Linked DNA regions of Ovis aries. The protein of the gene in region 1 purifies or fractionates together with the protein of each later gene. This does not show direct contact. Links are inferred from orthologs where the notes say so. Each region holds a gene or a part of one and is shown in the gene's direction. Other genes may lie near its edges. The genes, in order: SBF2 and MTMR1.

The links.
Region 2: the proteins of SBF2 (region 1) and MTMR1 purify together in Homo sapiens (affinity purification with mass spectrometry; 3 studies listed by BioGRID and IntAct, with this or other methods). This does not show direct contact. The link is inferred for Ovis aries from reciprocal best matches to the Homo sapiens genes SBF2 and MTMR1.

What each region holds. Positions count from the first base shown.
Region 1 is NC_056068.1:42,097,584-42,101,977, forward strand, and holds the start of SBF2 (myotubularin-related protein 13), read left to right. Parts: upstream 1-1,497; 5' UTR 1,498-1,635; coding exon 1,636-1,690; intron 1,691-2,286; exon of another isoform or gene 2,287-2,361; intron 2,362-4,394. UniProt on the Homo sapiens protein: Guanine nucleotide exchange factor (GEF) which activates RAB21 and possibly RAB28. Promotes the exchange of GDP to GTP, converting inactive GDP-bound Rab proteins into their active GTP-bound form.
Region 2 is NC_056080.1:84,850,347-84,854,157, reverse strand, and holds part of MTMR1 (myotubularin-related protein 1), read left to right. Parts: intron 1-3,173; coding exon 3,174-3,279; intron 3,280-3,811. UniProt on the Homo sapiens protein: Lipid phosphatase that specifically dephosphorylates the D-3 position of phosphatidylinositol 3-phosphate, generating phosphatidylinositol. Could also dephosphorylate phosphatidylinositol 3,5-bisphosphate to produce phosphatidylinositol 5-phosphate.

The sequences.
Region 1 (4,394 bases):
GCTTTACTGAAAGTGATCAAGCTAGATGAGCTCTCAGGGAAGTTACAGAGAAGATTCTTACTTGAGGTGTGACTAAAGCATTTTAGTTTAATTATTTTCAAGACCTATCTGCTATCTTCCCTCCACATCTGCAACTAGGTTGATTCAGTTTGACCATAAGCAATTTGCAAATGAACTCCCTGAGTTCAAGTATTCAAGGAGTTTCAGTTCTAGTGCAGCCCAACCCTCTCCATCTGTAGGTGAAAAAAGTGCCACACACACAGAAAGAGGAAATGATCAATGAGAGTAAACTTTCAGTAGCCGAGACACCAAATCTCTGAACTTTCAATTCAGTGTTCGACCCACTGCAGCTTTCTGCTGGTAGCTGGGGGAATTTGTATATTCACTCATCAAACATACTTAAAAGACCCTCTGCTAAGAGTAAATGGTAAAGGTTAAACCCTCAATTAATAATGAGTAGTGATAAGCAACTAGGATGATGATCACATTTGCAAACTATGAAGATTTCCCAAACTTCCCTTGTAACATATCCTGCTACCAAAACTTCATGAGATACTAAGAGAGGGCAAAGCATGCTCACCTGGGTTTCTCACTTGCCGAATTCCAAACAATAAGAGGTGCAGTAACAAGAAAGTGACCTATATAATTCCTAGATTGGATGATGATACACACGAATTCATTTTCATTGCATTGTTTGAACAGGGACGTTGAATTCACCACCTGCTTCTGCAGCAAGAGCACTGGGACCGCTGCAGGGGGCGAAAACCTAGGCGGGAAGAACTCTTTGGGGAGAGACAAGCCTTCTCCCTCGGACTCGGTTGTTCCGGGCCAGTTCAGGAGGATCCCGGGGATGCCGCATTCTTTGGAGGAATTCAGCCTCCCCAGGCGCTCTGGGGGAAGCCCAGGCCAACAGCCCCCAGCCCACCCAGCACTAAAGCACGAGGCGCCTCCGAGGATTGCGCAAAAGCCTCTCCCTCCTCCGCCTGCTCGGTGGCATGTTCCTAAAATTCCCATCTGCACAACATAAACAGGAAACGTGCAGCAAAAGCCCTGGCGGTGCAAATTCCAGGCTTCCAGTCGAGGGCGGGAGAATCTTGTCTTGGGAAGGCGGGTGACCGGGTGGAGGGGCCGTTGAAGGTTGGGGTGGGGAGGGGAAGCAGCAAACTTTCCAGGAGACCCCCTCATCTATCCCTGTCTCTTCTTCCCAGACCCAGAAAGAAAGAGTGGAAAGGACGGAAGGAAAGACACCCTGCTTTAGGAAAAACAGGGGGGCGGGAGGTGGGCCGCGGAGGGGCAGCCGGGCCTCAAAGTGAAGCACCCCGAGAGGCTGCTGTGACAGTAGGAATACACTAGGCTGCCTACTCCCAAGATCCGCTGTCCGAGCGGCCGGGGAGGGTGGGGGTGGGCTCTCCGCCCGGGCTTGGGTCAATGAGGCAGCGCGGGTGGGGGCGGGGAAGCAGCGGGCGCTAAGAGCGGCGCAGGCGCAGAGCGCGCCTCGGTTGTCAAACATGGCTGAAGGGCCGCCGCTGCCGCTACTGCTGCTGCAGGGAAAATGCTGAGCCCTCCCGGGCCCGGTGGGCGGCGGCGGCGAGGGCGGCGACGGGCACCTGCTTCTCGGGCGCGGCGGCGGAGGCCATGGCCAGGCTGGCCGACTACTTCATCGTAGTCGGCTACGACCACGAGAAGCCAGGTAAGGGTGTGGGGCGGGCGCCGCCCCCGGGCCTCCCTGCCCCCGCCCCCCGGCTGCCGTCCAGTGGGCTTCTCTGGGCTGGGCATCGCGGCCGGGAGGCGGGGAGGGCCGGTCCCGGCCCCGGTGGAGCTGGCACTCGGCGTCGGGCCTTCATGGCCCGGCTGAGCCTCGCGGTGGGCGTGAGGGGCCGGCACGAGGGGCGGCGGAGGACGAGGAGGAGGCGGCCTCGTCCTCCGGGCCCCGGGCGGCCCGGCTGAGGCGACTGGGTGCCGTGGCTCTCGCTCTGACGAGGGCCGGGTACCAGGGGCATCGCCCCGGTGCCGACGGGCTTGGGTCAGGGCTTCAGGGCTGGGAGGGCGGGAGCCAACTGTGCTAAGTTCCTCGGGGATAAACTTCTGCCTAGCATCCTGAGTGAGTAACGCATGACGCAGGGGGCTGTCCTCTCCGAAAGGAAGTGCTGAGAGTCCAGTGCTACCTCACCCCTGAGCTGGTGGGGGCCCGTCTAGTCACCGCGCCCGTGGACTCATGGTACCGAGAGAGGGCAAGTGAGCCTTGAACTTATGAACATTTCTAGGAAATGCTCCTTGTTCTTTCAGGACAAATCTGACGGTCATTTCAAAAGGAGTCTGAATACGATCTTTTAAGTAAGGACCGTCAGCACATCGCTGCAGGTGATCCTGTTTCACTTTAATGAGTGTTTTAATTAGTCTTTTCATTCGTCGCAGAATTATCCTCTTAGGTAACAATCTGGCGGATGTATTTTAATGGAGAGATTTCCACAGTTTAAGATAATTCACCGTTTATACACGTTTATTTTTGTATTCCTTTTGTATTACTGTGTAGCTAAGCATAAGGTAACGAATTGGGGAAGCACATCTATTTCAGGGTAACTTCAGGGTAATTTACAAGAAATTTAACGTCTCAGCTAGACAGCCCTTCCTTTTTCAGAGGAGATGCTGAGGTTGTGTTTTGCTGATGGTTACAGCCGTTTGTAGCTTCAGAATACCATTGTTCTTCCCACTCTTGGTGGACTGCCCCTTTCACTATTCCTCTCCTAATAACTTCCTTTAGTGGGGACTTTTTATAGTCTTTAATTATTCTTGACCTGATTGAGATTAGCAAGAGAAGGGTTGGGCTATATTTAAAATATTTTCGGGCTACACAAAGTTTTATTTATTTCCTAGTAATTTTGCATAGTCTGCTCTCTCTTTCTTGCCAAGGTTGACAATATGGAGAAGCAGAGTTTGTATTTAACATTGTTTCATTTTTAGTGACTTTGAGTTTTTTCTCACTTAGAAAAAATGGAAACAATCAAAAACTTGCAGAAAACTTGCAAGTATGGTACAAAGAACCTTTTCCTCCCTGAACCATTAGGAAGTGCTGACATGATGCCTTCCCTATCACCCGAGGTTGTGTATTTTCTACAAACAAGGATATTCCCCTGCATGATCAGAGTGCAATCATCAAAAATCAGGAAATTTACACTGACAAAGTACTTCATGTAGCTCTCAGATTGAAACAGTGTATCTCAGATTGGGACTTGAGCCCACCTGCGAAACTGGAACCCAGTGAAAACCCACCATCTGTTAACTGTGATCACACACACCTGGTTTCAGGACTAATGAAGCTCAGGTTCTTGATGTGTCATCACAGAAAGAATTCAGTGAGAGACAAATTGATAGATAAGTGGGTTTATTTGGAGAGAAACACTCCACAACCAACCCTGAATATTTATTGTAAGGACTGATGCTGAAGCTCCAATACTTTGGTCACCTGATAGAAGAGGCAGTTCATTGGATAAGACCCTGATGCTGGGAAAGATTGAAGGTGAAAGGAGAATGTGGTGGCAGAGGATGAGTTGGTTAGATAGCATCACAGACTCAATTGGACATGAACTTGGGCAAACTCTGGGAGATAGCGGAGGCATTGCTGCAGTCCATTGGGGTAAAAAGAATCAAACCCGACTTAGTGAGTGAACAACATACTCCACAAGCAGAGCGTGGACCATTTCCGAAGAGAACAGCCTTGAATTATGGCTTGGTTAGTTTTTATGGGCTGGATAATTTCATAGGCTAATGAGTAGGAGGATTATTGTTTTGGGGAAGGGGTGGAAATTTCCAGGAATCGGGCCATTGCTCACTTTTTGGTCTTTGGTGGCTGGCTTCAAACCTGTCATGGCGCTGGAAGGTATGTCACTTAGCTTGCTGATGTGTTACAGTGAGCGTTATACTGAAGCTCAAGGTGTAGTGGAAGTCAGCTTGTTCGCCATCTTGGACCTATTTGGTTCTAATCTAATTGTCGTGTCCTCAGGCTGTATCATTCTGTTAAAGTTTATGCCCTGCCCCCGCCCCTCCTGTTTCAGTACTGGTTCAAGTTTTGTTGATTATGCCGTCTCTTTACTGGCAAAAGAATCTGGTTCAGAATCATATATTGCATTTATTTGCCATAGGGCCATCTCATCACAGGTGAGGCAAGCTCTTGGATAGCTAGCTTTGGAGCTCAGCTGAGGAATCATACTGATATTCAGGAGTTTATTGCTTGCATACTTGATGGTGATGAATTTCATTAAGTTCTCATTTACTTTCAGTACATTTTTGGCCGTATGCTTCATGACTTCTTCAATCTGAAATGATTCCCTCATCTTCTCTTGATTTTCGTAATCTTGACCCTAATGAAGATTGTGTGTATGCATGTTCAGTTGTGT
Region 2 (3,811 bases), on another chromosome or scaffold:
GGAGAAGTGGTCAAGCTTAACATATCATCTGAAGGACATCTGCAGGGTAGAGCCAGCAGGGTTTGCTGCAGGGTGGCAATTGTCTAGGAGAAGGGGAGAATTGAGGACAGTTCCAGTGTCTTTAGCTTGTGGAAGATGGTGTGGCCGAGATGGAGAAGCCTCTAAGTGGAACAGGGTTAGGAAGTTAGCAGGCACTCACCCTGGATAGAACAGCAATGAGATGTCAGTTGGATGTCCCAGAGCAAATATCAAAGAGGCAGTTGGTTTGTTTAGGCCTGGAGTTCAGAGGTGGTGTCTGGTTTGGAGACCTGAATTTGGGAGTCACTGGCATAGAGGTGGAGCTTAAATTCATGAGGCAGGAGAACCCGGACAAATGATGGGTGTCTCTCTCTGGAAAAGGGAGTTGGAATAGGAGTGGGCAAGGTGCCTTCTCATGATACTTAGCAGGTAAGAGTGACAAGACTTGAGCATTCAGATGTGAGAGTGAAAAGGAGTATGGGCCCCAAGGTAAATGTCAGCCCTGGAGTCTGAGGTCCCTGGGTGAGGTTCTGCTTTTCCCTGGCTTAGGAAACATGAGGGTGGAGGAACAGGTTGCAGGCTGGGTGACTGAGACTAGTTTAGACACGTGGAGCTGGCAGGGGTTCTGGGACTGACTAGTGGAGCTGTCCCATGGGATCCTGGGCCTCTGGATCAAGAGCATCCAGGCTGGAGAAGCAAAGCTGGGGACCCCCAGGCTGCAGCTGGCTATTGTCACCAGGAGCGTGCAGGGAGATTACGCTGTGCAAAGAGCAGAGACAGGAGAGGAAACATGGCCTTCTCAGTCCTGTCCTTGTGCCCAGAGTAGACCCTGGCTCTGCAGGTGTGGCTCAGCCGTGGACTGTGGGCCCTCCTCTCTCTTCTGAATACTGTACTTCTCTAAATGCTGACAAAGCTGTGGGCCTGCGAAAGGATGTGGTTTGCTCAAGCTGGTGACAGAAACAGGACCCGGATCCAGGCCTCCTGTCTACCAGTCCACCATACCACACTGTTAATAACTCTGTTGGCCAGGATGCTTTTGGTTGCAGGGATAAAAACCACAAATCATTCTAGTTCCGGCTGGGAAGGAAATTTCTTGGCTCCATCACTGCTGCGGACAGGGGGAAAGATGGCCACGGGCATGTTACAGCCAGAATTGCAAGCACTGTGGTTGGGGCTCCCCATTCTCTGTTTTTGTTTTTGTTTTTTTCCTTGTCTTACTCTTTATCTCTGTGGGTTCCTCAAGGTGGTGGGGTGGGAGTGGCCTTCAGTAGCACTGAGGCTGGGAACACCTCTGATCCAATGGGAAAGCTTGGGATTGGCCTGGCGACCTGGGTTAGTCCCCTCCAAGTGGGGGCGGGAAGGGAGTGTCCCCTTCCTTCTCCTGCTGATGAAATGGGGAGGGGCAATTTCCTACAGTTCTCAGAGGCATCCTTATCAGAAGGAAGGAGAGAGGATGCTTGGCAGAGGGTAACAGCAGCCCTCCCACCCCCGTGGTGGGTGAACAGGCAGGTTCCTACTGTTAGATTTGCTATCAGGAGTGGGTGCTGACGGAAAAAAGTGTAGTATGCCAAGAGAAGTATGATAGAACTAGGCAATAAAGGTGACTTAGCCTTTAAAAGGAAACCAATCTCCCTCCTTTCCCCCTCCTCCTTTCTCTTAAGTTATTAAATGTGGGAAATAGGCTCTTAGAGTATGATAGGAATGTCTGCCCATTCAGTGAATATTCTGACTTATATTTCCAGCCCCGCAGACAACCATTATGCATTACATTTTTAGATTTGATTATAATAAATGCCTATATTTTTTTATTATCTTTTTCTGGGCTGTCTTGGTCAGAGAATATAATTTAGATCACTGGTAGAGCATGCCAAGTGTCTTTATTTTACTATTTAGGTGATTTTACACACTGCCTAGGGATTCCAGATTTTTCTGTCCTTCCAATACACAAGTGTGGATTTCATTAGTGATGAGATTTTCAAAGGTCTGAAACATTCTTCGCAGTGAAAGCTACCTGTGAGATAAACTCTCATAAGTATCTTATGCCCTTTAACTTGATTTCTTCTGTGCTTTCGTGAGTTGAGAGAGGAGCCTGGCCTCTGGAGGCCATTTTTAATTCCCTCAGTGCCTAGATTGCTGACATGGTCCTTTAAGTCAGGTGAGAAGAGCCTGACCACTTACCAACCACGGGACCTTGGTCAAACACTAGAGCCTTAGTTTTCTCCTCTGTAGGGTGGGTCACTGTGAGGCTCGGGTGAGGCCATGTGCAGAAATGTGTTGGACACTTGAGAGCAGCCTGCAAGTGGGAGATGCCGTCTTCTCTGCATTGTTGTGTTCTTGTATAAGGCAGTGGCGGGCATCTGTGGCACTGGCCTGGGTTTTTGCCCTCTGGCTCCATGAGTTGGTCATTACTGGTGGTATTGCATCCTGGAAGGACAGCCCCAGTGGAGCTGGAGGCAGGCCTACCACTTTCTGATGGGCCTTGTCACTTCTGCACCTCAATTTTCTCATCTCAAACCTGTCGGCTCGTCCCTGTTCTGCCTTCTTATCACTTGTGGTTGTCAGACTCTGATATAATAATGGACTGGTAGAGCCTTTTGTAAGTTGTCAAAGCACTTACAGAAATGTAAGGTTGCATTATTACTACACATAGGACATAACTTCTCTAATCTGTTCTTTCTAAAATCCTGCAATCAGCTTTGTTCCATTAACAGTCAATTTGATTCATTTGAAATTAATCTCATTTTATAGATTTAAAGCTACCAACATGAAATTGATTGCACTTGTGAAGAGCATATGCTGTAAGATAAATATTTCATTTTAGAATTAATTTTCTACTTACACTGAGAATATTCACTCTGTATAGTTATAACTGAGTAATATTTCATTAAAGGCTAGAAAATAACATGCTTAACTGTCTGAGGTCTAGAATCTTAACCTTAAAATAAATTAGTTGGTTTATTTCAAATCACCTTGGAACCTACTCTTACTTCCTAGTTGTCAGTCGGTATTTCAGTTCTTATAGTAAATGTAAAGGTAACCAAATAGCCTAATTGAAGTTCGTTTTCGAAAAAAGAAGTGTACATATATCCCTAGTCCGTGCTCATTTTTCTCAGAGCCTATGTCTTAAAATATTTTAATTGCACTATTTCTTTTAGTCCTACAGGATCACATGTTGAATGGTGTAAACAGCTTATAGCTGCTACAATTTCTAGTCAGATTTCAGGTTCAGTGACATCAGAAAATGTATCCAGAGATTACAAGGTAAGCAGAATTGAGTCCTTAATTCATTTTCAATATACTGAGTAGGCAAGAAGCTTTGCAAATTTAATTCAAATAAGACTTTGGCCCCCTGATGCTCACTGGCCATTTGCTTGGGAACAAGGGTGAAATGTCCTCTGTTGTTAGATCTGAACTTTAGAAGAGACATTTTTACCAGGATCAAGTATATGTGATCATAGTTTCATAACCAAGAGGAAAAGTTGACTTGATTATGATCATTCTTTTGAAAATCCAGTTCCACTTTATTATCTTATTATATATTTTATTATGTATTACATTTTTAGATTTGATTATAATAAATGCCTATATTTTTATTAGTATTCTGAATTTCAGAAAACATCTGATAGGATTTCTCTAACTTCACAGTTTGTTTCTGTATTTATATACTACCTGTAGGTTTTCCACATTAATATGTGATACTGGAATGCAAAAAAAAAAAAAAACTTGTAAAATCTCAAGAATATTGTATGGGCAGCCTCATTTTTTAGTCTTTATTGAATTGAGAAATCTCTTC